Cricetulus griseus: one gene and its partners. The protein of the gene in region 4 binds, or shares a complex with, the protein of the main gene of each other region. Links are inferred from orthologs where the notes say so. Each region holds a gene or a part of one and is shown on either strand. Other genes may lie near its edges.

What was found.
Region 1: Snrnp200 (region 4) and Lsm5 share a complex: the UniProt entries of both Homo sapiens proteins name them as parts of the U4/U6-U5 tri-snRNP complex. The link is inferred for Cricetulus griseus from reciprocal best matches to the Homo sapiens genes SNRNP200 and LSM5.
Region 2: Snrnp200 (region 4) and Ppih share a complex: the UniProt entries of both Homo sapiens proteins name them as parts of the U4/U6-U5 tri-snRNP complex. The link is inferred for Cricetulus griseus from reciprocal best matches to the Homo sapiens genes SNRNP200 and PPIH.
Region 3: Snrnp200 (region 4) and Lsm6 share a complex: the UniProt entries of both Homo sapiens proteins name them as parts of the U4/U6-U5 tri-snRNP complex. The link is inferred for Cricetulus griseus from reciprocal best matches to the Homo sapiens genes SNRNP200 and LSM6.
Region 5: Snrnp200 (region 4) and Lsm7 share a complex: the UniProt entries of both Homo sapiens proteins name them as parts of the U4/U6-U5 tri-snRNP complex. The link is inferred for Cricetulus griseus from reciprocal best matches to the Homo sapiens genes SNRNP200 and LSM7.
Region 6: Snrnp200 (region 4) and Lsm8 share a complex: the UniProt entries of both Homo sapiens proteins name them as parts of the U4/U6-U5 tri-snRNP complex. The link is inferred for Cricetulus griseus from reciprocal best matches to the Homo sapiens genes SNRNP200 and LSM8.
Region 7: Snrnp200 (region 4) and Plrg1 share a complex: the UniProt entries of both Homo sapiens proteins name them as parts of the minor spliceosome. The link is inferred for Cricetulus griseus from reciprocal best matches to the Homo sapiens genes SNRNP200 and PLRG1.

The regions. Positions count from the first base shown.
Region 1 is NC_048601.1:84,604,422-84,608,588, forward strand, and holds the start of Lsm5 (U6 snRNA-associated Sm-like protein LSm5), read left to right. Parts: upstream 1-1,367; 5' UTR 1,368-1,443; coding exon 1,444-1,489; intron 1,490-2,408; coding exon 2,409-2,504; intron 2,505-2,782; coding exon 2,783-2,810; intron 2,811-3,732; coding exon 3,733-3,805; intron 3,806-4,167. UniProt on the Homo sapiens protein: Plays a role in pre-mRNA splicing as component of the U4/U6-U5 tri-snRNP complex that is involved in spliceosome assembly, and as component of the precatalytic spliceosome (spliceosome B complex).
Region 2 is NC_048595.1:32,848,409-32,852,467, reverse strand, and holds the start of Ppih (peptidyl-prolyl cis-trans isomerase H), read right to left. Parts: upstream 2,801-4,059; 5' UTR 2,732-2,800; coding exon 2,666-2,731; intron 2,507-2,665; coding exon 2,442-2,506; intron 2,124-2,441; coding exon 2,100-2,123; intron 1,842-2,099; coding exon 1,797-1,841; intron 749-1,796; coding exon 706-748; intron 1-705. UniProt on the Homo sapiens protein: PPIase that catalyzes the cis-trans isomerization of proline imidic peptide bonds in oligopeptides and may therefore assist protein folding. Participates in pre-mRNA splicing.
Region 3 is NC_048596.1:154,693,812-154,697,796, reverse strand, and holds the start of Lsm6 (U6 snRNA-associated Sm-like protein LSm6), read left to right. Parts: upstream 1-1,185; 5' UTR 1,186-1,323; intron 1,324-1,726; exon of another isoform or gene 1,727-1,745; intron 1,746-2,585; exon of another isoform or gene 2,586-2,655; intron 2,656-3,985. UniProt on the Homo sapiens protein: Plays a role in pre-mRNA splicing as component of the U4/U6-U5 tri-snRNP complex that is involved in spliceosome assembly, and as component of the precatalytic spliceosome (spliceosome B complex).
Region 4 is NC_048599.1:51,367,703-51,371,920, forward strand, and holds the start of Snrnp200 (U5 small nuclear ribonucleoprotein 200 kDa helicase), read right to left. Parts: upstream 2,801-4,218; coding exon 2,756-2,800; intron 2,339-2,755; coding exon 2,175-2,338; intron 937-2,174; coding exon 765-936; intron 1-764. UniProt on the Homo sapiens protein: Catalyzes the ATP-dependent unwinding of U4/U6 RNA duplices, an essential step in the assembly of a catalytically active spliceosome. Plays a role in pre-mRNA splicing as a core component of precatalytic, catalytic and postcatalytic spliceosomal complexes.
Region 5 is NC_048598.1:101,634,295-101,638,388, forward strand, and holds the start of Lsm7 (U6 snRNA-associated Sm-like protein LSm7), read right to left. Parts: upstream 2,801-4,094; 5' UTR 2,737-2,800; coding exon 2,731-2,736; intron 1,871-2,730; coding exon 1,777-1,870; intron 904-1,776; coding exon 832-903; intron 241-831; coding exon 98-240; 3' UTR 1-97. Other genes in the region: Sppl2b (signal peptide peptidase-like 2B), read left to right, coding at 2,892-2,942. UniProt on the Homo sapiens protein: Plays a role in pre-mRNA splicing as component of the U4/U6-U5 tri-snRNP complex that is involved in spliceosome assembly, and as component of the precatalytic spliceosome (spliceosome B complex).
Region 6 is NW_023276806.1:207,800,356-207,804,233, forward strand, and holds the end of Lsm8 (LSM8 homolog, U6 small nuclear RNA associated), read right to left. Parts: intron 3,375-3,878; coding exon 3,247-3,374; intron 1,509-3,246; coding exon 1,418-1,508; 3' UTR 501-1,417; downstream 1-500. UniProt on the Homo sapiens protein: Plays a role in pre-mRNA splicing as component of the U4/U6-U5 tri-snRNP complex that is involved in spliceosome assembly, and as component of the precatalytic spliceosome (spliceosome B complex).
Region 7 is NW_023276806.1:71,283,989-71,288,075, forward strand, and holds the start of Plrg1 (pleiotropic regulator 1), read right to left. Parts: upstream 2,801-4,087; 5' UTR 2,656-2,800; coding exon 2,647-2,655; intron 1,121-2,646; coding exon 1,014-1,120; intron 1-1,013. UniProt on the Homo sapiens protein: Involved in pre-mRNA splicing as component of the spliceosome. Component of the PRP19-CDC5L complex that forms an integral part of the spliceosome and is required for activating pre-mRNA splicing.

The DNA of each region.
Region 1 (4,167 bases), on a different chromosome or scaffold from region 4:
GTGAGTTCCAGGACAGCCAGGGCTGTTACATAGAGAAACCCTGTCTTGAAAAACCAAAATAAAAGAATGTATTTGTAATTGCCCCGACACCTAGTAGGTACACGAGATTTATGGAATGGGGTTTGTGGGGAAAAGCCACCACTGGCTTGAAATTGAGAATGGAGTGGAGTTTCCAAGGATCCCTAGAGGCATTGCTTTATCTATTAAACTTCATAGTGCTATATACATACAATTTATTTGTCCTTCTTCTCACTCACTCTTGTAGAAGACTTTTCTGTACATTGCTTTATATACCCAGCGAGCTGCTAATTAAACGGTGTATGAGGGGTGCTTACCAAACACTGTAAAAATGAATGGTGTTGATTATGATCTCTCCTATTCAGATTGTTTAAGTCCCTCAGACACAAATGAGACAACCGAAGCTAAAGAATTTGCCTGCTGCTTTTTTTTCTTTTTAAGTAGGGACAACCCAGGTCTCATGAAGTCATGAATGCTAGGAAAGCACTCTAGTGCTAAGCAAGGTGGTTAAGCTCTCATTAGTTTTTATTTCCTATTTCGTGTCAGGGTCTTACTAAGTTGTCCATGCTTGGCAACTGTGGCCTCCTTCTGTTTCTTAAGCGCTGGGATTGCTGGCCACTCCTCACAGCAGCTTTTTATCTTTTTCCAAAACACAAGTGTGATAGCATGTTTTCCAAATGTGATGACACCAACATACGGAGTGACATCTAGCAGTTACCTGTAAATCAATAAGTGTTAGTAACTGCAAAAGCCTGCAATAAACTAGACTTCTAAAAGGACAAGAAGAAGCCGGGCATTGGTGGTGCACGCCTTTAATCCCAACATTGGGGAGGCAGAGGCAGGCGGATCTCTGTGAGTTCGAAGCCAGTCTGGTCTCCAGAGCGAGTTCCAGGACAGTCCCCAAAACAATACAGAGAAACCCTGCCTCGAAAAACCAGAATAAAATAAAGTAGCAAAAATTAAAAAAAACCTTTGAATACTCGGTATAGAATATTTTTAAAAGATGCTTCGTAAGGGTTTTCAGTACTCTAGGCTTAAAAGTACAGGATTCCTTAAGAAAATGAGTAGTAGTTGAGACAAACGCAGAACGAGTTGGTGATAGCAAATCCTCATTGATTTTATGGCTCTGAAGAAAGATCCAACCTTTTAGAGGAAAACTAGCCGACTCAGAGATCTCGTATGTTGTAGTCTTCAGGCAGATATAGAGGAGACAAACTGTCAAGTTAGCAAAACTTCGGGGGCACGGGATGGTGGCACCGATATAGTGCGGAACTATTCTATCGAGTCTGTCGGTGATCCATTTGGATACCCCGCGATCGCCAGATCTGCCTCCGATTAGTTCCGTCTGAGCCAGTTGTGGGAAAGGGCGGAAGCGCGCTCTTTTAAAGTCTGCGCCCGTAGCCCTATGCCACTTCCGGCGTGGCCATGGCGGCTAACGCGACCACCAACCCGTCTCAGCTCCTGCCGCTAGGTAAAAGTCTCGCCCGGGGCGCGGGCGGGTTGCTGCGGCCCCACGCCCGCGCCGGAGGCTTGCCCCTGGGGCCGCTGCGGAGACCGAGCCCGTTGTCTGTCGGCGGCCGGCGGGGGCCCCACTTGGTGAAGGACGCCCTCGGCCTTGCTTGTGAGCTCGCCGGTTAAGATGTCCCGGTGCCGGCCCAGCTCGCAGTGTGGCCTTTCCGGTCTACACCTTAGGGAGCCCCTGTATTGCATTTGGCGGTGTGAGGAGGGCGCCACGGTCTACAGTGACTCCTAGAAAGAAATCTGGAGACTAGCTCCGTCATTCGTTCGTTCATTCATTCATTCATCCATCCATCAAGCAGTTCCCTCCCCGTGCCAGGGTACTGTTGAATAACGAATTTAAACTACGGCCATTGCTTTCAGATAGCACACTGAAAGACTTCGTGCCGAGCAGTTCTCGGTTGGCCACGGAGATGCTCAGGTTGGTCTCCAAGCACAGAGCTAAAGGCAAGATGAGAGAAGTGACAGGAAGCTGGTGTCGGTCGTGAGGCCTCTCCTCTGTCATGTTTTGGCGCCGGTGAAGTTAGTCAATGTGGCAATGATGGAAAGTTCTTGCAGGGTCCACTCCAGGGTATGTTCATCGGCAGAAACACTGATGAGGAAAAACTAACATGGTTTCCACCTTGTGGTGTAATTGTTTTTCATACATTAACCAAATAGTCAAAATCACAGTCCCGTTAGTTGCAGCAAAAAAGGAGGTAAGCGAAGGCCAAGACAAACATTTGTGCTAATGGCTGAGCGGAGATTTGTGTAAGATGTAGTTATTTAGTGACTGCTTTTTGTTTCTCTTTAATGATACGGAAATAGTAAAGTGAGCACTCGAATGCTTGTTGAACTAATAAGTGGGTAAAACAATCTTTTTCTTTCCACAGAGCTCGTGGACAAGTGTATAGGATCAAGAATTCACATTGTGATGAAGAGTGATAAAGAAATTGTTGGTACACTTCTAGGATTTGATGACTTTGTCAGTATCCTTTTAAAAAGTGTTCATGGAACAGGTTTTTAAAGATGTATTAATATAAGAGCTGTAGACAGATGACATATTTCTGTTTATTACATTAAAAATTATTTATTTTCCAGGAACTTGGTAACATTTTAAGAGGTGTGCTTGCAGAAAGCAGATAGGGTTCTCTCCAACAACAAACCTTTTGAATTTGCACCATTGTGTTGAACATTTTTGCAACCAAACAAAAACATAAACCAGAATAAATTCAACCTTGTTTATTTTCTTAACAACAAATTTCAGATATGGTGTTGGAAGATGTCACAGAGTTGTGAGTAGTATTAAAAATGACAAATAAATGGGGGAGGAGAGGAGGAAATATCTTTTTGAATTAAAGGCAGGTACCCTAGTTCCTTTTCTGTTACTGTGAAGAGACAGCATGGCCAAGGCAGTTTATAAAAGAGAGCGTTTACTGCGTGGGCTTGCTTACAGTTTCAGAGGGTTAGAGTCCACGTTTTTTCATGGTGAGGTGTGTGGAGGCAGGCAGGCAGGCAGGCAGGTGTGGGGCTGGAGCAATAGCTAAGTGATTCTATGTTGAGATAACCATGAGACAAACAGAGAGCCAACTGGTTATAATTTATTCTTTTGAAACCTCAAAGCCCACCGCCACAGTGACACACCTCAGACAAGGCCACTCCTCCTAGCCATTCCCAAACAGTTCTGTCAACGTGAGCCCGTGGAGGCCATTTTCATTTAAACTACAATAGCAGGATTAGTATGATGGATAAAGTATTACCTGTTGGAATTCTTTTAATGCTGACTTATTTACCGGTATTTGTGAGGTTGGGCCAGAAGATTATTATCTTAATGTCATTATTCCTGAATTTCTAAGAAATTAGTGTAAACACGCTTTATAGTGACTTTACATTTACTTCTATATTATATCTTTGTAATATATCTTTATATTTACTTCTGTATTTATGAAGTTTTATATTTACATAACTATTATCTGGTGGGCAGACTGTATTGCTGAAAATTATTGTAATTGTATGAGTTCACATTCATTCATATGTAAGAATAACAGTTTTGATGCTAGGGATTGAACCTAGGGCCTTGTGCTCTGCCACCCAGGTGGTGCTCTGCCACCGAGCTAACCTCTTTACCCCAGGAATAATTTTTAGAGAGGAAAAGCGTTTCCAAAATAATTGCCTTTGAATACTTGTTTATCCTGACTCCATTTTTTATCTATTTAGTGAAATTACACCAGAAGGAAGAAGGATTACAAAATTAGATCAGATTTTACTAAATGGAAATAATATAACGATGGTAAGACATTAAAGCTGTTTTATTTTGAATTTAATTACTTTTATAGGGCAGGGATTACAGAACACTGCTGCTTAGCTCAGTGTTCACGGTCTAGACATGCTGAGGATGGGAAGGGAGCCTTCAGTGATCAGTGCCCCAACGCAGCTATTGAAAGAGCATTGGGCCTTAAGATTCATTTGCTTATTAATCTTTATTACCTTTAGTTCATCAGGAACCATTGTTGAAACTCTTAAGCATCAATTAATGTTGGGATTACTAGCAGATGTTGATGATCTGGGAAATGGGAATTGAAGGATAGGGGAGAGACAGTGGTGGCTTTGGTCCATGAGGAGCACATGGGGAGTTTTAGGTGGTATGATAGT
Region 2 (4,059 bases), on a different chromosome or scaffold from region 4:
CCTTGGGCTACCTCAGCAAGCAGAGCAAACACCCTTTGAATTGCCTGCCTCTCCTGACCCCTTGCCACTAACTGGCTTGTGGTTATCAGCCAGGTGGTGGTGGCGCACGCCTTTAATCACAGCACTCGGGAAGCAGAGGCAGGCGGATCTTTTTGAGTTCGAGACCAACCTAGTCTTATGAGAGTTAGTTCCAGGCAAGCCTCCAAAACCACAGAAAAACCTTGTCTTGAGAAACAAAAAACAAAACAAAACAAAAACCAAAATAAAACAAAAAAACCCCTCAGCTTTCAAAAGGAAAAAAGACAGACCACAAAAACAAACAAAAAACTACAATTTTAGAGAGGGACACCAGAAGTGGAAGGAAAAATAGGGCATACAAGCAGTTGGCTCACTTCCTGTGGGGGAGGGGGGCTGCAGCTAATTTCAAAGTTTTCTGTGGTCAAAGAATGTGGTCTTAGATCATCTGTCTATAGGTAGACTAGCAAAGTCCAATTTTTGGTAACAAAAAAGCTCAGGTTTGGACAATGGGAGTTAATGATTCAAGTTTAGTATTGGTATATGTTCTAAGGGCACAGTCAGCAGTACCAGCAATTCTACAGTGCATCCCCTAGTCCATGCTCTCTCCATTTAACTTAGCTATTATTCTTAAATCTCAAGACTGGAGCCCTATAGGAAGAATAGCAAAGAAAAAACAGCAGTACTTACATTAACAAAATCTCCACCCTGAATCATGAAATCCTTTATGACCCTGAAACAGAGTAAAAACAAAACAAACAAAAAATTCCCGAGGGAAGGATTCAGTGGTTTGGTCACCAACATAGCAGCTTAGTAATTTTTTCTGAAGTACAATGTTTATCACCGTGGCTTAGAGACTGAGTCTTCACCCCTGGAGTTGAGCAAGATGAGGGATTACGAACCATAACTTGTTTTAAGCTCCAGGGGCATCTTTGTGTTGATCTAAGGTATATGAGTGAGCACCTGAACAACAGAAAAGGGCTGAAACCTGTCAGGAAGAAATAACATATTTACAAAAAAAAAAAAAAAAAAAAAAAAAAAAAAAAGTCAAGGGCTTAATGAAAATCTGGGGGGAAAGAAAGAACAACAGCAAATATATGTGAAATGGACTGCCACACACACACAGGGTAATGTAAGCTGTTATATACCCAGGCATAGTCCTTTCTTAGCCCCAGTTTCCTTCCTTAAAGAAGGCAGATTACACATACTACCTCACAAGGATGCTGGGAAGGATTAAAGACCATAATTCTAAAGCCCCTGATATGGATGACACAAAAATTTCAGGATTAAAGTGGAACAACTTCTGTCAAACCCTAACAAAAATTGGTAAACACAGAAAGCAAGGCATTCAAGAAGGTCAGGTTCCTGCAGATGACTGCCTGATAATAGTAATTATTACCAAAGCCTCTACCTGGAACCAGGGGGATGGTTCAGTGGGTAAAGTCCTTGTTAATGAGGCATGAGGACCTGAGTTCAGATCCCTAGAACCCACATAAAAGCTGGGTATAGAAGCCTATGGAACTGCACCTGCACCCAACTGATAGTGTTTTCCTTGCCATCATTTCTACATCTAGGATGACTTACGGTGCCTGTGGTGCTGAGTATTGAACCCAGGGTCTCAGGTATGCTGGGAAAATTCTCTACCACCAAGCTACATCCTCAGCCCTGGACATGACACTTTAAACAACAAACCTAATCTACCATAGGTGTACTCAGGTGTTCAGGATTGCCTGCACAGATACCAAGTGATGACTGCATTAACAGTTTGCCAAAAGCCTTACCTATGGAAGGTGCTTCCTTTGTATCCTATTGGAACACCATCTTTTCTGTAACCAAAAAGAAAGACTTGGAGTGATGACAAATAACCATGGGTCCTTTCCGTTTGGGACACACTGGAGGCTAAAAGGACTCTCAGAAAGATTTGGATAGAAGCAAGCTAAAGAACGCATCGATAAAGAAGACACCCTCTGAATATCATCTTCCACCACTCAAGACTTGCCCATGGTTCCCCAATACCCTCACCAAACCTCCAGGACACCCTTCAGGAGTAGGAGGAATAGAGGTCAAACACATCTGAGACTGACCTGAACTCTCCAGTGCAGAATTGCCTAAAAGGAAAGAAACAATGAACAGTTACCATGCCATCGCTGCCCGGAGCATCTCTAATATCGGGAGATGAGGGTACAAACAGTGGGGCCAGCAAGTCCACTAACTGGTCGGCCGGATGTCAGGGCATGCAGCCATGTAAACTAATATCACAAATTGACACAGGAACGGTCAAACCCGGTAGCTATTCGGCCAGTGCAATAATACACAGAGCACAGAGCACAAGGCAGTGGACGGATGGACAGAGGCAGACATTGCAAAGAGCGCCCCGAGGCCGGCTTCGGGCTCAGCCACGCTGATTCAGTGGAGCATCTCCTCACCTGAAGTTCTCTGCCGTCTTAGGCACCACGTCTGCAAACAGCTCGATCTTCATGCGACCAACCTCCTGCAAGTGACGGGAGACGCAAGAAGGCTCAGTCCACGACCGCAGCCCACGCAGCTCGGAAGCGCCCACCTCGGCCGCCCTGGCCCAGCCAGTCTCGGCTGCCTCCCTCACCCGTGTCCTGCCCAGCCGCGCAGGTCCGCCGGGCCTCCCGCACCTCACCTGGCCGCCGATGCTGACATCAAAGAAGACCACCGGATTGACTGGACTTGAATTTGCCACCGCCATGGCTCTGACCCGGAAGTAGAAGTCCAGTTTCCGGGGACCGGCCTTGCTGAATTCAGCCAAAGCACAGGGGCCGTGGAAACCGACCGGGGTTGGGCCCCGCCCCCGGAAGCGCGGCGCGGACCGCCGGGAAGGCGGACACTGGTGTTGTAGAGCGGGTCGGTTCTGAGGGAAGGCGGGGATGAGGGGAGAAGGCGCAGAAGCGAGGGAGTGCAGGCATCTTCGCCGAAGGCGGCGGGCTCCCTACTCGCGTGACTGTACTAGTGCAGTACAAATGAGTGACCGGCAGACAGCATTTGCTGAGCCGTCACACTGGGTGTCCCCTGCCCCCGAGGCGGCACCCACGAGGGGAGAACCCTCAGAATCACCCTCCGTGTTGTAAAATGTTACGTAGGCTGGCTCATTCGGGATCCTGGAAATGTGATTTCATTTCTGTCGCAAGCTTCCAACTCATTTCCCACAGAGTTGCAGTTTAAGAAACAACCTTTGTGCTTGTAAATCGTGTGTGGGGGATTTGCATATTTAACGTAAATCCAGCTGTGTATACGAAGGCCCGAATGCCATTTATTTGCCACCGCTGGTAGCGAAGACCTGAAAGTAGAGACCTCACACTACCTAGCCTCATCTCCTGCCTACCACTCTTTACCCTTTCTGGCTCGGTTGTGGAGACGTTAGATTGCTACGTCCTTTAAGGCCTTGATTCGAGTTTTGTCTCTTCTAAAATATTTTTTTTTCACCTTAAATGTTTTTGAGACAGTCTTGCTGCTTATCAAGGGCTGGCTTTGAGCTCAACGATATTCCTACCTCAGCGTCCCAAATGCTGGGATTACCTACATGGTTTGCCATATCCTTTTGGAACTGGCGTTGAACAGATGGTTCAGGAGGATCAGGGCATCCCAGCACCCATGCGACAAACTGGGTATCCTGCATGTTATTCTTTTGTTTAAAAAGAAGAAAAGAGAAATATTGAGACAGACATATTGACTATAAGTTTATTATAAGGCCCGGTAGAATGGGGAGACTAAGAAGAGGAACAGGGTAATGGCTGACCGCCATGGCCGGTCGCCATAGAGAGAGAGAGCGGGGAAACAGAGAAACGGGGAGAGAGAGACAGACAGAGCGTAAAGGTGCAGGGGCCTATCTTTTAAAGGGGTCCTCTGCACCTGCGTGCAGACTTCTTTCCCATGGAACCTTGGGCTGACCAGGGTATTGCCTGAGTGGATTCCACCAGGTAATGGGCAGGCCAGCATAATGCCTGACCCTTTCATTCCCACCTCTACTTATTATTAAAAAAGCTGTAATCTCAGCTTCAAGGAGGGTGGAGACAGGAT
Region 3 (3,985 bases), on a different chromosome or scaffold from region 4:
CTTGGGTGTGCACTGCTGTGCCCACCACTGTGGTGCCAGAGATGTTAATGCACACCAGGCATGCCATCAACTGAGCCAAATCCTCAGCTTCCAGTTTGATTTACAAAGCAGCCTGTTTTAGGGACAGGGCATAGCACTTTTCTTCTCTGCAGACAGTTATTTGATTTAAATGTGACTTTACTTGTGTTCTTAATTTTATATTTTACATTTCAAGAGCCTAAAATGCTGTCTTATCAATGTCTGTAGTTGACGGTCTTCGAGTCAGCTGAGGTTTTACAGAGGATAGAAAGATATGGCTGTTCCTTACCAAATCTCAGCCAGTTCTCTGTCTGTGGCACCAGTCACTGGTCTGTTTCTTTCGCCATTCACTAAGAGGCTCTTAGGAAAGGAGGAACCACTTTCTGTCTCAGGAAAAAGTTCTGCATTGTAGGACCTGTAAGATCTAACAGGGTGTGTAGCTGTTGTTTGAAGGTCTTATAACTGTGTTGATGATTAAACATCAGAAACAATTAAAATATAAATCTTAAATACAATATAAAAGAGAAATTAAAATATAAATGTAAAATATAAATGAGAGCATGGGTGTAGAAAAAAAGGAATCAAGTCTTCCTGTAATCTCTTCCTTCCATAAACAGTCAGCATACACTAAGAATTCATGCATTATCCCCAACCAAGTTCCCCCACAGCACTTAAATGGTATCTGCATGCTGTTTCCAATTAAACTAATTTGTAATGTCTTTTTACAATTGGCGCCATTGTAATAGAGTTGCTTTAAATTATTTATATTTTTGTAGCAAAATTGCTATGGAAACAATCTCTAACAGTAACTTAAACTTCATACATTTAATTAATATTCAGAAGTCGGTTGGGAGCTTGAGGCTTTTAACTTTTATTTGCTTTAAATTATTTAAGGCTATTTGGGGTACTTAATAGCCTATTATTTTAATCGTAAGTTTCTGTTTCCTGTCATTTTTAAGGTATTCTTTACTGTATTGGAATCTCAAAAGATTACTTCTAAATTTTTTTTCTTGGTTGTTTTGCTTTTGATTCGATTTTCTGGCAAAAAAAAAAAAAAAAAGACGGCAACATCAGAACACCGGCATTTACTTCAGCCCCTGGATGCTGAATTCACCACTGAAGAAACCAATTCTTGGAAGTGAGCGTTATGGAACGGCCTGATCCTTTTGGTCCCCGCGGGCTGCCGTAGGCAAGGAGGCCGCTGATTGGGTGAGGCAGCGAAGCGCGCTGCCGGGGGCGGTTTCGGTTTTCGCCGCGCGCGTCCGCGGAGGCCCGGCCTGTGAGGGCTCCGGATCCGGCTGCGAGGTGAGCCCGCGCGCGGCCCGGGAGGGAGGGGCGGTGGGGCGGGTGGGTGCTTGGAGCGGAGCGGTCGGCCTAGGCCGCGGAGGGCCGGGGCGGGCGGGGTTGCGGCTGGAGCCCAGGCCGGCCTGCGAGCAGCGGAAGGCCGTCAGGGCCACGCGGCCTCGCGCTCCCGCGCCGTGCGGTCCTGCCGTGCGCGCGCCGGGCGCCGGCTGTGTCAGCCCGGGTTAGGCGGCCGCCGCTCCCGCGCCCCCCTCCTCCGTGCGCGCTCGAGTCCCTCCACACGAGGACACGAGGAGCCGGGGAAAGGATCCCTGCTGGGCGCTTCCGTCTGCCCACTCCTCTCCTCCTGTGTGTGCCTGCTTCTCTTTCCGCTAGTACTACCAGAAATACTCGGTCTTCTGTCTACGTTAAACACATGCAGCCAGGTGTAACTTTAACATTCATTGCTTTTGTTTTGTCATTGCCTGGGTCCCATAAGTGACTCCGGTGTTTCCCCGATGGCTTCATCTTAGCGTCCATGCGATCCTGGGATGCACTTCCCGCCCTTGACTCTATTTCTCACCATCTCCTTGGACAAGTTCTCAGAGGAGAAGTCATTGGGTTAGATAGTTCTTGCACGTTGCCGGGTTGGTTCTCTTTAAAGTGTTAGTAAATTACCTCGTTCGTGTGTGACACCGGTTCTTTCACCAAATCCGTGAACACGCCTCCTGTGTTTCTAACAGTAGCAGAGTACAGCCTCTCTTTGGAATCGTTACTGATCTCGTTTAAACTTGCACGGAGTTTCTCAGTCTGGCCTTGAACTTTGGATCTTCCAGCAGTTGTGGTTCCGGGGTTACTTCAGGCATTGTTATTTTTTATTGTAATGCCTGTCGTTCTGCCATCAAGGTTTTCCTGCCGAATCTTCGTAGGAGGGGCAGGGAGAGAGAGAGAGCTGGTATTAACTGTGTGTGTTGGTATTACTGCACAACTTAACCACGTGCTTACTGGTATTCTCTCTCTCTCTCTCTCTCTCCCTCCCTCCCTCCCTCCTCCCTCCCTTCCTGTCTCTCCCCTCCTCCTCCCCCGTGTGTGTGTGTGTGTGTGTGTTGTGTGTGTGTGTGTGTGTTGTGTGTGTGTGTGTGTGTGTGTGTGTGTGTGTGTGTGTGTGTGTGCGGTGTGTGTTGGTATTAACTGTGTGTGTGTTGGTATTACTGCACAAGTTAACCAGATGCTGGAACAGAAAGACATAGTCAGTAACCATCTAGCATAACTCCCTTATTTTTCAGATGAGCCTGGGGCCATGAGAGGTGAGATGGGTAGCAGAGGAGATTAGAATACAGGTTACCTGCCTCCCAAGTGAGTACCCTTAACTACTGCATCAGGTCTTCTCTCACTGAAGGGTGGCCTAATAGAATTTTTTTTATTTGATTTTTTTTTTAATTCCCTGGCTTGCTTTCTCCTTTTATAATGAAGGACTGGAAAATAGAAAAGTCACTTTTTTTGTGTGTCCAGAACTAGAAATTTATTAGAATGCCAACCCATTCAAGATTTTAATGGTTGTTTTCAGGTTCTCAGTGTTGGGATAAAATACTCCTGATAAGTAAGACAGTTGTCCCTCAGTATCTGAGAGGGACTGGGTACAGAGCTCCCAATATTAAAAAGTGCATGGATATTCAAAGTTCCATATGTGTGTTTGCATATAACCTATGCAGTCTTCCTATGTTGTTCACATCATCTCTAGATCACTCACAATGTGTAATAGGATGTAAATGGTTGCAATGGAATATTGCTTAGGGAGTAATGACAAGGGAAAAGCCCTTTAGCTCTGTAACAGGTAAAACCATTGGAGCTGTAATTGCAACTTCATGTTACTAGATGTTGGCTGGATACACAGATAAGGAGAGGTGACTAGTTTATGTACTCATCATCTGGTTCTCATTTACATCTTGATTATTCTAAAGTACCTTGCTTGTTGTTTAAACCAGAAAATAAGGTTTGAAGAGGAGGGGAGGAGGTGGTAGTGGCAGTCATTCTGTGAGTTGACACGTTGCATCATATAGTCCTTTGTTGTAAAGGACTAGACTCTACACCAGTGGTTCGCAGCCTGTGGGCCGAGTCCATGAAAGACCCTTTCATGGAGATCACATAGCAGATATTTACATATGATTCATAACAGTAGCAAAATTACATTTATGAAGTAGCAATGAAAATAATTTTATGGTTGGGGTCACCACACATGAGGAATTATATTAAAGGGTTGCAGCATTAGGAGGGTTGAGAACCACTGCTCTACACTGTAGACTGTTGAGGGATGTCCTTGGCTTCTCTTCACTAGAGTCTGATTCCCGCTTTGACAATACATAATGTCTGTAGACATTTCCAAATGTTCCTAGAGGGTGGGGCACAAAAATCACCTTTGGTTGAGAACAACTTGCTCTTAGGAATTACCGTAGGCAACTTGATGTCAAAGTGCTTATGGTCAAGCCTGGCAACCCGAACTCAATTGCTGAACCCCACTTAGTGTAAAGAGAGAACAGACTCCCAAAAGTTATCCTGTGGCATATGCTTATTGCCCCTGCCCCACTAAATAAAACAAATGAATAAAAGCAATAAAAACAAAAAGCAAAGGACAGCCTTTTGGCTGAGTTAGCTACAGCAATCTGTGTCTGAACAGGCATCTTTGTAG
Region 4 (4,218 bases):
TCCTGGCACTTGGAGAAACAACAGGACCATAAGTTCTAGGTTATTCTTGAATACACAGTGAGTTTGAGGTCAGCTTGAGCTACATGAGACCTTGTCTCACACAAACAAATAAAATAAAATTTAAAAAATAAGCTTTGATCCCAGCACTCAGGAGGCAGAGACAAGAGGATCTCTGAGTTTGAGGTCAGCCTGGTTTACAGAGTGAGTTACAGAACAGCCAAGGCTACACAGAGAAATCCTGTTTTGAAAAACCAAAAGATAAAAATTAAAGACTATAGGGAGCTGCTGAGGATTTAACACAGTGGTACCACATGCCCTTAAGCGTAGCACTCGGAAGACAGAGGCAGGTGGCAGAGGCAGGCAGATCTTTGTGAGTTAGAGACCAATCTGGTCTACAAGAGCTAGTTCCAGGACAGCCTCCAAAGCTACACAGAGAACCCCTGTCTTGAAAAACTTAAAAAAAAACAAAAAAAAAAAAAACAAAAACAAAAACAAAAACAAAAACAAAGCATGAGAGATCCTGGAGTCAGTCCCCAGAAGTGGGGGGGGGGGGATTAGGTAGATGCTTTTCAGAAGCAAAACAAACTTATACTTTCCACCAAGGCCAACAACTTAGGTTTGATCTCTGAGTCCCACACAGATGAAAGTTGTCCTGATTTCCACAAACAGAATAAATATTTGTAACTAATAATTTAACCAAAATTCTTGTGCATCACCCTTTCTCTTTCCAAACACAAGGCCTCATCCTCTGGTTCCAGCCTCACCTGGTCTCCAAGAGCAGCCTGGATAAAGCTGAGCAGCACCTCATAGGTCTCTCGCGTCTCCTTAGTTTTGGGCTTATAGATGATGCCCACCATTTCATCAATGCCCTCTGACAGCAGCGTATAACCTTTCATCTTGTTGATGTCATGCCGGTCCTCATCACGCTTTCTTCTCCTAATGAACACAGGGTGTGATGCTCAATGGGAGAACTTTGCGCCCCCAAGTCAAGTTTACCTTTTCTTTTCTTTTCTTTTCTTTTCTTTTCTTTTCTTTTTATAATTGCAATTAGACCAACTTTAAATTAGAAACCAGCTTCATTTACATGTCAATCCCAGTTCCCTCTCCCTCTCCTCCTCCCCTGCCCCCCACCCCCGAAGTTTACCTTTTCTATACATCTAATATGTGCAAGCAGGAACATGAATCAAAATAAGTAATTCCCACTTGACTTTAAGCATTTGAAGAAGTATTTATTTCTTTATCCTCATGAGGAGATAATATAATGGTATTTCAACTTTAAAAAACAAACAAACAAACAAAACCTTTTATTAGCCAGAGAGGCTAGGCTCCAGGGGAATCTACTTCTATGACTCCCAATAAACAGCTAGAAAAGAAGCCAGATTCTGAAAAGTGAAGGACCAAGGAATGTTTCTTCTCAAATTTAACAATTCTCTCAAGTCTCAACAACTCTCCCCAATTATAACCACTCAAACTAAACAGGGCCTGGGGACTGTTAAGACTTCACAGAAAGAAAAAGGAGAAAGAAAGCACAGTAGGAGAACATGCAACTTTTGAAATGGATCTATCAAGATGAAAAAACGGGAGAGACAACAAAACAAAAGCATCAGGAAGTGGACAACAACCGGAGGGAGTTAGGGTAAGAAGCTTTTAACAGTGGTAGTGGGGCTGAACTGCTGAGACAAGAGATTAACAAGGGTCTGGAAAATAGTTGGTGACGGGGCTGGGGAGAAGGTTCAAGTAGTTAGAAGCAATACTGCTTCTGCAGAGGATCAGAGTTCAGTTCCCAGCCCTCCAAACTGGGTAGCTCACAACTGCCTGAAACTCCAGCTCCTATGTTCCAAACTGTCTTCTGGCCTTCACAGGCATTTGGATGCATGTGCACATACTCACAAAAAAACACACATGCACATGATTAAAAATGAAACAGATTTTTAAGAAAAAAATAGCTTGAAGAAAATTAGCATCTACCTATGAATCAGAAACAAAAAGTACTAATAGATTTTTGTTCCATTTCATTGCACCCAAGTCCAAAGAAACTTTAAACCTTGAAGAGGTTTTCATTCTCTTGTGCAAACACCGCTGATCTTCCACAGGTACTTCATCAAAACTACTGCTCAAATGTTCAAGATGCGCTTTAGACTACAAGGAAAATATAACACCCCGTTGGTACCTACTTGGCCCGTCTTTCCTCCTGCATCTGTGGTTTGGTGCGTTGAGCCTTATCTCCCATCCGAGTTCCCTCCAACTTCCCAACCAGGGACAGAACCTCTCCTGTCGGTTCATCCCGGCGGGTCCGGTCAATAAGTGAGCGGTCAGCTTGGAGCACAAGATTTGAGTTCTGAAAAGATCATACTTAATCAAAACTTTAATATATAAATAGCTTCGGTTCCTGTTATCACAGTGACACCTGAAGATGGAAAAATACTGGGAAAAAGGAATAATCCCCTTAAGAAGAAACAGTATAATAAAACGCCAAGCACCGGACTGTCTGGTAAAGTGAACGATCAACGTTCCTAACAGTAGTCACAATAACCCACATTAGGTGAAGTGTTGAGCAGATTTGGGGATAACGAGTAGGAAGGGGCGGTTTGAGGAGACTGGGAAAAAACCTCCCGAGTCCTCACGCGCCCTAAACCCCACTAGAGTTATTCCGTCGTGTTTTAATCCAGCCTTCACCCAGATCAGATATTCCGTCCGTGTTTGTGGCTACCCACGGCCTCCCTCGCCCGCAGCCCTCCGCCGAGACTTCACGCACCGCCTTGTACTCGTACTGCAGACTGCGGGCAGTCACATCCGCCATGGCTGCCGATGCTCCGGGAACTCAGGGTTCCACTCTCCACACGCTGCGAACCGCCTCAACAAACCGCGCCGGCCCAGCAGGAACGACGCAGGACAAACGTGCGGGACAGAGAAAAGCAACGGACTCCCTTCCGCTTCCGGGACGTACGCTAAAAGTGATACTTTCCGGCGACTACGCACCGCCACTAGGTGGCGGTTGCAGAAGGTAATACATCCGGGTCAGGGATTCCGTGGACCTAGGAAACACGCTCCTGCGCAATATGGTTCCAAGGACCTATACGTACGCAGAGTCACGAAGCCACTTTTAGTGTGGTGTTAAAAGTCCCTTTCTGTAATACACTTTTGCTTTCTCAGTCCAGCGGTCCCGTCAGGCAGGCAGGCAGGCATGCTTGCAGGCAAACGGAAGCTTAGGAGCTCCGTTTATTAAGGATGAGAAAGTTGAAGGAGCAAGTTAACATGCTTCTAATAACTGACTGGATTTCTCTTCTGTATTGAGAAATTGGGGAAATGTTTGCTGCCCCCAACGCTTTTCCTCAAGAGTCAATCGCTGTGGCAGCTGACTGAAGGTGAAGGAAGAAATATTTGCACCCAATGATCTGTCACAGTCCATGTCAGGATTATAGATACGGATTATTTGTTCTCAATGTGGCACAAACGCTACATTTACTAAAGAAATATATGAAAAGTCTATTCAGATATACTATTCAGATGTATTAAGCAGTAATGATACATTTTATGAAATGGCGGTATCTAATCTTTTAATAATTCTCTACATTGAAAACAAAACAGCTATTTCTACTTTTCCCTTTAGGTTTAATAAGCACAACTGACCCTTAGGCCTGTGTCTTAATCCACTGAGCCATCTTGCTGGCAATTTTTATTGTTTAATCTGTTTATCATTACTTTCGTTTTATTCTATGTATATGGGTGTTTTGGCTACGTGTATATCTGTGTCTGAATGTATGTTTGTGTGTCATGTATGCGCAGAGCCCAAGAAGGCCAGGAGGAGGTATTAAATCCCCTGGGACTGGAGCTACAGATAGGTTAGGAGTTGCCTTGTGGGTGGTGGGGTTGAAACCTAGGTCCTCTGAAAAGAGCAGCCAAGTGTTCATAACCATTAAGCCATCACTCCAGCCCTTCTTTGGCTTTTGAGAAAAGATCTTTTGGAGTCCAGGTAGGCCACAAACTTGCTCTGAAGAGACTTCTCTGCATGCTATTATTATTGTTGTTATTATTATTATATTTATTATTTATGTTTATAATGCAAATAATATATAGAATATTTATATATTATATCTTAACATATTACTAACAAAATATTTATATTATATTTATTATTATTTTATTCTATATTATTATTTTTTATTGTTGTTATTTGTTTTTGAGGCCAAGCTGGCCTCCAATTTGCCTCTGCCTCCC
Region 5 (4,094 bases), on a different chromosome or scaffold from region 4:
AAAAACAAAATAAAAAACCAGAAACAAAATCCAAAAGTAAAACACCAAACAAAGTTCACACAGGAAGGAAGGTCCTTGGGGCCAGATCGCTCTCCACCTAGGCATCCTGCTGCTGCACGAAGGGGTTGGGGATAGCCTCCATGCCATCCTGTGGGCAGATGAGCACCACTGAGGTGCCTCGGCACACCACAAGCCCCAGCTGCCGTGTGTCTTCTGTCAGCTTGTACTGGTCATCAGGGTCTGGTGGGAATAGGGGGTGACAGGCAAGAGGAACTGAAGACATGTCCTTTCCACCCAGCACTCCACAACCAGGACCTCAGAGGGCTGTCCCATCTTTCTTTTGGGGACTGACACACCCAGGCCCTGGGGTCTCAGAGCCGACTGTAGGCATGGATACTACAAGAACCCAGGGCAGATACTCACCCCAAGGAGTGGTCTGCAGGGGAAGCAGAGGCCCCGGGGAGGATGGACCAGAGGTGGAGACAGGGAGCAATTAGAAAGTAATTGTTGTGGGTGCAGAGGAAGGGACACTCTTTGGGCATTACAGGTACTATTCTGGAATAAGCTGAGATCCTATGCGTCCTGGAGCTGGTGACACAGGCAAACAATCCAGACAGAGGACAGTAGCTACTATTTCTGCCATCCCCAGGAGGGCTGAGGGGAAGGAGCTGAAATCTCAAGCCTGGGGCCATCATGGTGGGCCTGTCACCTTTCTGGTGATCAGGGAGGGACCTGCACCCTAGGTCAGCACCACCTGCGGCAATGTGACTGCACAGGTGTGGAGAAGAAACAGGGCCTGGTGGCATCCCTGGACAACCACAGCCAGCTCACCTCTCATGTACTCAATGGTTCCATCCAGCACCAGGTTGAGCAGTGGGTCAAACCCTTTCAGGATCCCGCTGGCTTGAAGGGAGAGATGGGTAAGGATGATGTTATTGTCCTCCCACTACAGACCCAGGCATGGGGACAGTTATCACTACAGAACTCATGGGGAGACATGTCCCTATGTGGTGGCCTGCTGACTATGACCCCCAACTCTCTTCCTACAAGTGTGGAAGGGGCCATAGATAGTGAGTTCATGGTGGACCAAGTGTCAATAAAATGTTATCATCCCCCAAACTGAATTCTGTATAGTTTCCATGTAACACAAAATAGCCTTTTTTCCCCTCCCATTTGTATGAGAGAGTATCATTTGCCCAGGCTGGCCTCAGACTCACTAGGCAACCTGAAAATAATCTTGAACTTCCCGATTCTGTGTTTACCTTCCTAGGGTTGGAATAGCAGGCTTGTACAACCACACCTGGTTTCCATGGTGTTGGAGATAAAATCCAGGGCTTTATGCACACTAAACCAACCCTCTATCCACCAAGCTATAGCCTAGCCCTGGTTGATTTTTGGAGACAGGTCTTGCCACATAGCTCAGACTGGCTGGAACTTTCCCTGATCCTGCTACTGGAAACCTCCTGGGTCCCTGCTACCTCCAGGCTCTTGAAGGGATGCCTTCCTTCCATCCCCCTGTTGCCTCCTTCTTCTATGTCCTCCCAGCTTTCTGGCCTCTTCCTTCAGGCTCCAGCAATAATGGTGTGGGTGCTACCGCACCTGGCTTTCTTTCCCTGGGACTCATTTTCCCCATCCACAATTGAGACATACTGGTACCTCTCAAGTAACAGGATGGCCCAAGCTTAGCCTTTGTTAAGAGTTAAAATGCCTGCCTTGTGAGGCTTTCCCTTGCTTGTCGCAACCCCGATTCTTAGGGGCCCTGTTGCATCCACTCACCTTCCCGGCCACCCTGGAACTTCACTCGGATGGTCTTGTCAATGTACTTAGATAGGTCCAAGATGCTTTCTTTCTTCTTTTTCTCTTTGTCCTGCTGGAGAGTGGAGGAGCTGAGGAGTGAGACCCAGTCTTCCCATATCCTTGTTGCCTGGACCCGGCACCCAGCGACTCCTTTTGACCATCCTGCAGCCCTCATAACTGTCTGCAAACTCATTTCCATCTCCCATGTTCCCCCAACTAAATTCCAGGTCGCTGAGTCTGCATCTCTCTCTATTCCCATGCCCCCTGTGTATATCCTCATGTCCCCTGCCTGCACCCCCAGGTTCCCGGTCTGCACCCCCAGGTTGCACCCCCAGGGGTCTGCACCCCCAGGTTCCCGGTCTGCACCCCCAGGTTCCCCCTCCGGTCTGCACCCCCAGGTTCCCCGGTCTGCACCCCCAGGTTCCCCGGTCTGCACCCCCAGGTTCCCCGGTCTGCACCCCCAGGTTCCCCGGTCTGCACCCCCAGGTTCCCCGGTCTGCACCCCCAGGTTCCCCGGTCTGCACCCTCCAGGTTCCCCGGTCTGCACCCCCAGGTTCCCCGGTCTGCACCCCCAGGTTCCCGGTCTGCACCCCCAGGTTCCCCGGTCTGCACCCCCAGGTTCCTCGGTCTGCACCCCCAGGTTCCGGGTCTGCACCCCCAGGTTCCCCGCCTGCTTCCCCAGGTTCCGGGTCTGCTTCCCCAGGTTCCGGGTCTGCTTCCCCAGGTTCCGGGTCTGCTTCCCCAGGTTCCCGGTCTGCTTCCTCAAGACGCCCGGTGTGCAGTCCCACGTGATTCCTATTCCTCCGCGTCCCTGTCTCCCTATCCGTCTTCGGGTGTCCGCCCCCCTCTCTTTGGTCCTCCTGTGCCCCCAGTTTTCGCGTCTACAGTCCCTCGGGGGGAACCCCGCTCTCTCCGCGACCCAGCAATGCTCACCGCCATCTTGCCGACCTGCGCTGCTCTGCGCAGGCTCCGCACCGCCCACTTCTAGCGAGGGGCGGGCCCGCGCACGCGCAGGGCCGGCGCGTGCGCGTCTCGGGGTCCCGAAGGCGTTGCCGGGAAACCTTCCGCCTAGAGCTGCGGCAGGACAGGCGGACATGGCGGCGGCGCGGCTCGCCGCGGCCCTGCTGCTGCTGCTCGCGGCCCAGGTGAGCGCCACGGCTGGTCGGCTCGGCTGCACCACTCGTGACCGTGGCCGAGACCTTGCTGTCGTCCCCTCGCTGTCGCCACCGCAGACTTCGGGCCGGGCTTAGCCCGCCCTGCGCCCCGGGGCCCCAACTGCCGCCGCCGCCCCTGCCAGCCTCAGTTTCCTCTTCTGCAGAATGGGGCGAGTCCCCGTCCTCCTCCCCCAGGGGCTCGGGAGGGTCCCCGGGTGCCTGCAGCCCTGCATCCCGGCTTCTGCTCCGTGACCTTGGGCAGGAGGGGTTCCTCACCTCTGGGTCAGTCAATGCAACACGCGGGGGACCCGTGGGGGCCTCCGGGTGCCGCGGGATGCGCCCCGACCCGGTGCCGAGGCAGGACGTTTGGTGAGCGTCGCTTGCTGAGACACAGTCGCATGCTGGCCTTGAACTCATTCTGTAATGCGCGCTGGCCTCCCACAAGCGCTGCAGCCCAGGATGGTCTCTTGACTTTGCCATGTTGCCCAGGCTGGCCCTGAACACCCTGTTAGTCTCCCAAGTGCTGGGATGCCAGGCCTGCGTCACAACACTTGGCTTAGTTGTTAGATTTCTTGTTTGTTTCTGTGGCATCAGGCTCCAGTCCCAATGGTTCGTGAAGGGCTGCAGCCTCGGGCACACGGGGCAGTTGCTGGGTTCTAATGCGGATGGCCCACAGGGTGGCCTGTGCACGTTATTCTATATATTCATCTTCTCTCATGGACCCTGGGTCTGGATCGTTCTTTCAAATACTTTTTTTTTTTTTTCAAGATTACAAAATCTTGAGACAGGATCTCCTTTTATAGCCCAGGCTAGCATTGAACTTGTAACTGAGCCTCAGCCTTCCCAACACTGGCACAACTGGCATGCTCTTCCTTGATTGGCTAAGAAGTTAAGACATTACCCAGGCGTGGCGTTCCTAGCCTCTCCACCATGTGGCCCACATCCCCCTTTGACGTTTTTGTCCCCACATCCCGCTCTTGGCTGGGCATGAGCTTTTGAAAGTGTGTCAGGGCTCCCCACCCTGCCAGCAGTCCTCAGCTCTCTCTGCCTCATTTTTACCAGGCCACTGGCCTGTCTGGAAGCCTCCGTCTTTGGGCAGGTGATGTCCACCAAGGCTATTCTTTTTTTTAGGGGGTGGTGGTG
Region 6 (3,878 bases), on a different chromosome or scaffold from region 4:
GTTTCAAAATTTAAAGTACTGTGTATTAAGTGTCTCTGGCTCATGGTCCCTACACTCCGCTACCCATTCTCATCACATTCATCTTGTTACTGACTATAAAAGTTTACAGTACAGGCTAGGCATGATGGCTCTTTCCAACCTCTCCTCACAAAAGTTGTTTTTCTTTTAATTAACCAAAATGATTATATCGAATCTGAGTGTTAGCTCATGTCTGAACTCTGGGGGGGGGGGGGCATTCCAGAACTTACAGGAACTGTCCATTATCCTTTCCTTCTAAAAATATCTTAAGCCAAGTCATAAAATTATGCCATTTGGGCAAATACAGCCTGCCTGCATTGAAAATGATGTTCTATCGGGAAGACAACCAAGACTGCACTTACGGGTTACCTACTGCTGCTTACGATGTAACCAGAGAGGACCGCAACTGTTAGAGACCACATGGCCTTTGAAGCCTCAAAGTTTTACTATTTGCATCTTTACAGAAATGTTTGCACTTTCACTTAAAAAAATGGAAAACACTAAAAAGATGAGTTTTATTTCAATTACAAGAATGTACACATTTTTTCTCGTCTATCCAAAGATAACCATTTTGGCCCACACAGGAAACAGATGAGTTCTGGGAATGCTTAACATATATAAATATGATCTCCATCACCACTTCCATGAATTCTTTGAAAAGTCAAGGTTACCAAAGCAGCTTCATGGAGCACGTGAAGGAGTGAGACAGCAAAGCACAGCTCTGCATTTAAGTCAACACCCACCCTGAACAAAAGCTCGTTCAATGGCTGACACTCCCCATTTCTCTTTGTAGGTTTCAGCAGTCCAACGGCATTTAACATACATGGAATTGGTTTTAGATACTGAATTCTGTGACCTTCCTGAGCATCTGAAGATTTATCCACATCTTCCTAGTCACTCTTACTTTCCTATTAATTTTTGTTGCAATTTTAATGTGCAAGTTTTTCACTATTCAACCAATTTTTAATTCACATCTCTTAGACAAAGAGCAATTTTTCAACCAATGTAGAACTCTAGGGCAGTGGGATAAACATCTACAGCTCAACACAGAAAGAAACGTGTCTCTTATTACTATTACTTGCATGCATAAGTTACTATAATAACCTAAGTTCTCTTTACAGCCAATTTTCCATAAATATTAAATTACCAAAAGTAATGGTATTTTCTAAGTTTTCAAAATGATCTATCATTTAGTAGAAAAATAAATCAGGCAACTGCATTTATTAATTTAGGCAATGTTTCCCAATAAAAATGTAGAAATATTTAAATTTACATATTACAATGTACCAACACAAAGTCAAAATCCACAATTACACACTCATAAAAAAATCTAAACGTCATCTTCAGAAGACGCAGTTTCTGTACAGGATTTACAGACATCTAACCACACACTGTGTCTTCAGTGTGCTACGGAGTTCAGAGGTTCGGCTCGGATGTTCCCCAAGTCCAGTGCAGAGTCTGTCTCTTCATCAATTTCTCCAATGACTGCTCTATTATCAGTATGAGGGAAAGACAGAGTTAAACACATGCTGAAGTGAACTCCCATACATTTCTAAAACCCCATTAACTACAGCATCATTTCACTCTTCCAAATGTGAGGAACTGGGAAGATGCAGTGACTACACGAGGTGGGAAACAAAAGCCATTTCATGACTCACTGAATGAAGTCCTAACACTCAGGTAGTGTTAAAAGAACAAACAATAAAGAGATACTGCAAGTGTTTGAACATCAGATCTTTGGAAAACTAGTGGCTGGTCTGCTGCACTCAAAGTCAAACAAAAGTCTGTTTTCCTGAGCTCTTAAAAGCAGGCTCTAGCCTCAGTATGTTTGTGGTAAATGTTCAGTTTGGTTTCTTTGTAACACAGATGTAGGCAACACAAATCATCCAGCCCATACACTCGCACTGCAGTGTTCTGCTCTGCTGCTCGGGGATAAGGGCCCTTCTGCTCAGGCTCACGCTTTACAACTCACGCCACAATTTCACCCAAGTCATCTCCAGAGAACATTTTGATAAGGATCAATCAACTTACTTACAAAATACAGATTTCAGATAAAATTAAGTGAATAAAGCACATATTCATTTTAAGATAAACTTCCAGTATTCACTAATAACTAATCTTACAGATCACCAAATGAATTAAGTATCACTTCTCCTATCATCTTACATATCCCTTCAAACCTAAACTTGCTGTCTGTAGTAATATTTTGACTCTTCGTAGTATTCTAGAGACATTAAAATTCAAGTTTTAGCCACATAAGGCAGAATGAACCTATAATCCCAATACTTGGGAAGCTGAAGGAGAATGAAAGAAGTCTGGGCCATATAGCAAGTTCCAGGTCAGCCTGGGTTACATTAAGAGATTCAATTTAAAACAAAAAACAAAAACACCAAATTTAAAATTTAGTTCCTTGGTCACCAACCATTTTTCAAATATGACAACTACAAAAGCAAGTAGATATAATACTGGAAAATGTTGACATTCAAGACTTCCATCATTAGAAAAATGAATATTTTGAATAGCACTGTTCAAAATGGTTTCAGTTTTTCTCAAATTGCCATGTCTAAGTTTTCTCAAACTAGACTGTCAGTGTCCTGAATTCAAGAAGACTATAGGTTTTTCATGGGACATATTAAGTATATCCAGTCAATAAAAACAGTGACAGCTAAATGAGCCTGAATTTTTTAAAATAGCTCAAACGGGAGATTTTTTTAAGGAGATTTTCCAAATGTCAAGAAGCCTCTTTAAGGAAAAATTTGGTACAAAGCAGGGCCCTTTGTGGGCCTATCCATGCCACTTTCCTAGTAGAAACACACAACACAATAGTGGTTTAGGCTACTCAGAGGCTGTAGTAACAGGTAGATCTACAGTTCAAAGTCAGTCTAAGCAACTTAGGTAAGCCTGGTCTCAGGATGTAAACAGTAAAGAGAGCTGGGGAACACAGATCAGCAGTAGACTGTTGTTCTGTATGTGTAAGACTATGTTCAAAAGCCAAGTCTCAAATCTCAGTAGGTCAATGTTTACTTTGTGAAGAGACAACTTTAGTTGGTTCCTGAGGTTACCTCAACATAAAAAGAATAAATTAAAAATAAGATAAGCTATAGCTGCAAAACAGATGAATTCTATTACACATGGATGACATATAAGTTGGGGGAAATCTCTCTTCCATAATGCAAGCACACCCGTAGTGAAAAAGTAACTTTACTCAAAATGACTTATTTTACTTACACATTGTCACCTCTCACGATGTATAATCCTAATACCACTTGTTCCACTCCTTGTGAAGAGCTGAATACCCTCTCGTGGCTTTCATCCAAAATCAAATTAATAGTCTGGTCAAAACCTTTTAGTGTTCCCTGAAAAGAAAATGAGAAAGACAAAACATGCAAATCAGCTTACAGCCATTTTAGCTGCCAGGTAAGTACTTATGTCTCAGTGTTAGTCCCCTGGCAGTACAATATCTTCTGCGTTCCGAAGCAGTCACAACACAGAGCTTACCTCTCACTTGTTTTATAATAGGGAAAACCTTTACTGAAAATCTGACTATTGTGCAGTTGCAAGCAACACCCAGGCACTAGTATTTCCAAGTAAATAAACTCACATGGTCCAGGAACTAGCACTAAGAACACAAACTAAAACAGGACACCGTTAGGATAATTTTTTTTTAACTTAATAATAAGAACCACAAACCAGCCATACAGTTCACTGGATGTTACTACTTAGTGAAAGTCACTAGCTAAACAAACACACTGAGCAAATCACCTCCACTTTCCTTCACCTTGGAGATACTGCTGTGTTTTGCCCATTTCACATAAGGGACCTGATACTCCAGAAAATGATGGTTCAAGATTTCATGGGTA
Region 7 (4,087 bases), on a different chromosome or scaffold from region 4:
CAATTTCAGCTCATCAAGGCTCCAGAGCAAGAAGCTGAAAACTCAAAGTGATTCATTAAAAATAAAATAACCTAACAGGAATGCTCTGAATTACTGGGTAACATAGTTACTTTTCTACTTCGGTGGCAAAACACCATAACCAAGGTAATTTACATACCAAGTATTTAATCTGGGGATCATAATTCAAGAGGGTTAGTCTTTGAGCATCATACTGGGGTGCATAAGACGACAGGTAGGCATGTTGCTGGAGCACAGCTAAGAGCTTCTATCTGATTCACAAGCATGGGTGTTGGGGGAGCAAGAGCATGCTAACTGGGAATGGTGTGGGCTTTTGAAATATCACAGCCGACCCCAGTGACATACTTCTAACCCTTCTGAAACAGTTCTACCCACTACAGACCAAGCATTCAAATACATGAGCCTATTAGGGCTGTTCTCCTTAAAACCATTACAGTGGGCATTTCTATGACTAGCTAATGGTATTTTTACTGTAAACGATAAAACAAGGGACTGGAGAGATGGCTCAGCGGTTAAGAGCACTGACTGTTCTTCCAGAGGTCCTGAGTTCAATTCCCAGCAACCATATGGTGGCTCACAACCATCTGTAATGAGATCTAAGGTGATCTCATTACAGATCTAAGGTGATCTAAGAGGGCACATCTAAGGTGCCCACTACTGGCATGTAGGCAGAAGACTGTATACATAATAAGTAAGTAAAATCTTTAAAAAAAAAAAAAAAGATAAAATAGAAAAATAACAAGTAAACTCTACTGATATTATGACTAAAAGCCACTTGCCCAAGTATCCTATGAGTGTCAGTACCACTTTAAGACCTTTGAAAGTTACCCTCTCTCTCTCTCTCTCTCTCTCTCTCTCTCTCTCTCTCTCTCTCTCTCTCAAAAAAAAAAACAACAACAACAACAACAAACGGTCACCTTCTCTCTGCGCTATTCTACCACTATTAAAAGTTCAAAGTTCAAATATTTTACTACTAAAAAGGAATAAAAACTTGCCTCTCTTCATCCAAAGGCACAGGTTTTCCATTATCAGATACAAACATGTCATGGGTCCTCTTCAATGACCTGAACACCAGTGTGTGTACAGAATGTTTCTGCACCTCCTGTAAAGAAACAACCAAAATCACACATCCAACTGCAAGTGAAGCACACATTCTTATCCACACTAGAATGGTTATGTTAAATACACAGAAGGATGTACACTCCACACAAATCTGTAACAAAGTACAGCAGTCAACAACAAAGATGAGAAGGCTCCTGTCTGGCTGGAGCTTTGGGCAAAGCAAGTGAATGAAGCCTAGGATAGTAATTTGTTTAATCAACATTTACTGAGCTCGTGCTGTAACTGGCATGTAGTGTGCTCAAGAAATAACAGTCAAAAATAAGGAAAACAATTCCACATTTTGGGAGGCTCTATGAAAACAGGTAATGGGATGAGTCACAGAAAAAATAGAAATGATAATTATGAAAGATTTATATGAGGTGGTATTTAAACAGAAAGGGAGACAGTCTTACACGGAACAGAGGTATGAACCATGCAAACTGAGGGAAAACGCCACTGCAAAGGTGTTCAAATAATGCCAGAACTGCAGCACAGTTGTGAAAGCTGTGGGATTTGGGGCTGTAGTACAAAATGAGGCTTCAAGGACAGGCAGTGGTGGCACATGCCTTTAATCCCAGCACTCATGAGGCTGAGGCAGGTGAGCTTGAGGCCAGGCTGGTCTACAAAACGAATGCAAGTAAGCCAGGGCTACACAGAGAAACCCTATCTCCAATCCCTCTCCCTAAAATGAGGCATCAAGGGCCGGTGAGGTTCAGACTGCTGTCACCACCTACATTTTTATTTTAGTAATACTGAACCAGAAAGGAGGTTTAAGCAGGAAAAGCAGGACCAATTCATATTTTATTTACGCTTGTGGTACTGGAGACAGAATTCAGCGCCTTGCGCATGCTAGACAAGCGAACCACACACTCCTTCAGTGTGTTCGCTAAGCACCAGCCCTTAGACCAGCTAGAAGCTAATTCATCAGTCCCAGCAAAAGATGCTGGGCTAGATTAGGAAGACTGCAGGGGAGCTGAAATGCAGTGGGTGAAATTAAGAAACGCTTGGGATATGCAAAAAAAAAACAAACAGAAAATTAAGAAGGGCAAGCTTTAGCCGGGCGTTCGTGGCTCACGCCTTTATTCCCAGCACTCGGGAGGCAGAGGCAGGCGGATCTCTGTGAGTTCGAGGCCAGCCTGGTCTCCAGAGCGAGTGCCAGGATAGTCTCCAAAGCTACACAGAGAAACCCTGTCTCGAAAAACCAAAGAGAAGAAGGGCAAGCTTTACTCCAGTAGAACCTAAGTAACAGTAACTGACAAGAGCTTGGACCAGCATCCCATCCACGGAAGGCCCGCCTCCGAGGACAGCGCCAGCTCCCAGGGACACACAGGGACTTCAAGGTTCTCTCAGGCTTCCCGCCGACCGAACCTCGGATTCGAAATGTCATTGGCCTTTCTCTCGCCCCGAAATCCCGGGACCACCAACCTTGGCTAAAGCTCCTTTCCCTATTTTCCCAGCACGTTCACCCTGCACGTTCGTGGGCAAAGCAAAGCTCCAGAGATAAACGACCCCCAGGCGTTACTTTACCTCCACCATGTCGCCCCGGGTTAGCTCACTCCTCCAGCAGGGAAGAAACTCAAATGATGGACGCAGAAATCGCCGCCACTATTCTGCAGCTCCTTCCGGAGATTGGGGGTCTGTCGGCGGATGTGACGCCACCCGCGCACGCGCATTGGCCACCCTCGCGCGGAGAGGGGAGAGGGGCGTTGTCTTAGAGGTCGAGGGCAGGACTTGGCGGAGTTGAGTGGAGCTTCGAGTCTGAGAGCCCAATCTTAAATTCCGCCGGGAGGAGCTGGGCGGGGCTTAGGCGGGAATGGGCGGAGTCTCCAGGCGGAGGGGCGGGTCTCGCAGAAGCTGGAGCTCCTGCAGGAGCAGGGCGGGAGCAGAGGGAGCGCGGTAGCCTTAAGCCCTGCTTAGGGGCGGTACCTGTTCCCGGAAGCTTAATGCTTATTAATAACAAGGAGATCCTAAGCAGTTTTTAAAAAACGATAGAGAACTTTTTATTTTATTGCGCCTGATGCTAAAGTATTGAAGTTTTGTCTTTTACCCAGGTAAAATGTTGTTCTGTGTAAAAATATTTGATGTAGTTTGTATTTGCGGTTTTTTTTTTTTTTTTTTTTCCAGACAGGGTTTCTCTGTGTAGCTTTGGAGCCTATCCTGGCAGTCGCTCTGGAGACCAGGCTGGCCTCGAACTCACAGAGATCCGCCTGCCTCTGCCTTCCTAGTGCTGGAATTAAAGGCGTGCGCCACCAACGCCCGGCTAAAGGGCCACATCTTGGAAAGGAAAGGAAAGGAAAGGAAAGGAAAGGAAAGGAAAGGAAAGGAAAGGAAAGGAAAGGAAAGGAAAGGAAAGGAAAGGAAAGGAAAGGAAAGGAAAGGAAAGGAAAGGAAAGGAAAGGAAAAAGGAAGGAAGGAGTCCCTGCACTAGCTAACATCGTGAGCTGCCTCTTGTGAACAGTAGATGTCACTATGGCTCTTCATAAGGGTGAAAAGGATTTTTTTCCCCCCTTTGAGGAAACATGACAAATTACTTATGAATATAAATATGAATGCTGCATTTGTATGTGTGAAAGCAATCATGCAGATTTTTAGGAAATCCCTTCCTCATTAACCAAGCTATTCTCACTCAACAATAAAAATCTTTTTATCTTCCTTCAAATAGTGTACCCTTTGCTGTTGACCAATGATAAAGGTAAAGTGGGACCAGGTATTATGGGAAGGACCTGTGGGCCTAACAGATTTAACTGGAGAATCAAATGATTAAGCAGAGAAATGCTATCACTCTTGAACATCAGTGGCTGAGTGTTCTCTCTACGGTGCTGCCATGAATGTAAAATCAAGCCAATGGACCTGATGCTCTACTTACTTCCTTTGCAGATTTCAAATTGCTTAAGAGTCTGATAGGGCTAGCATGGGGTAAGGATAGCATGCTCACTCTTGGTCACCTGTAGTGTCATCATCCTGACAC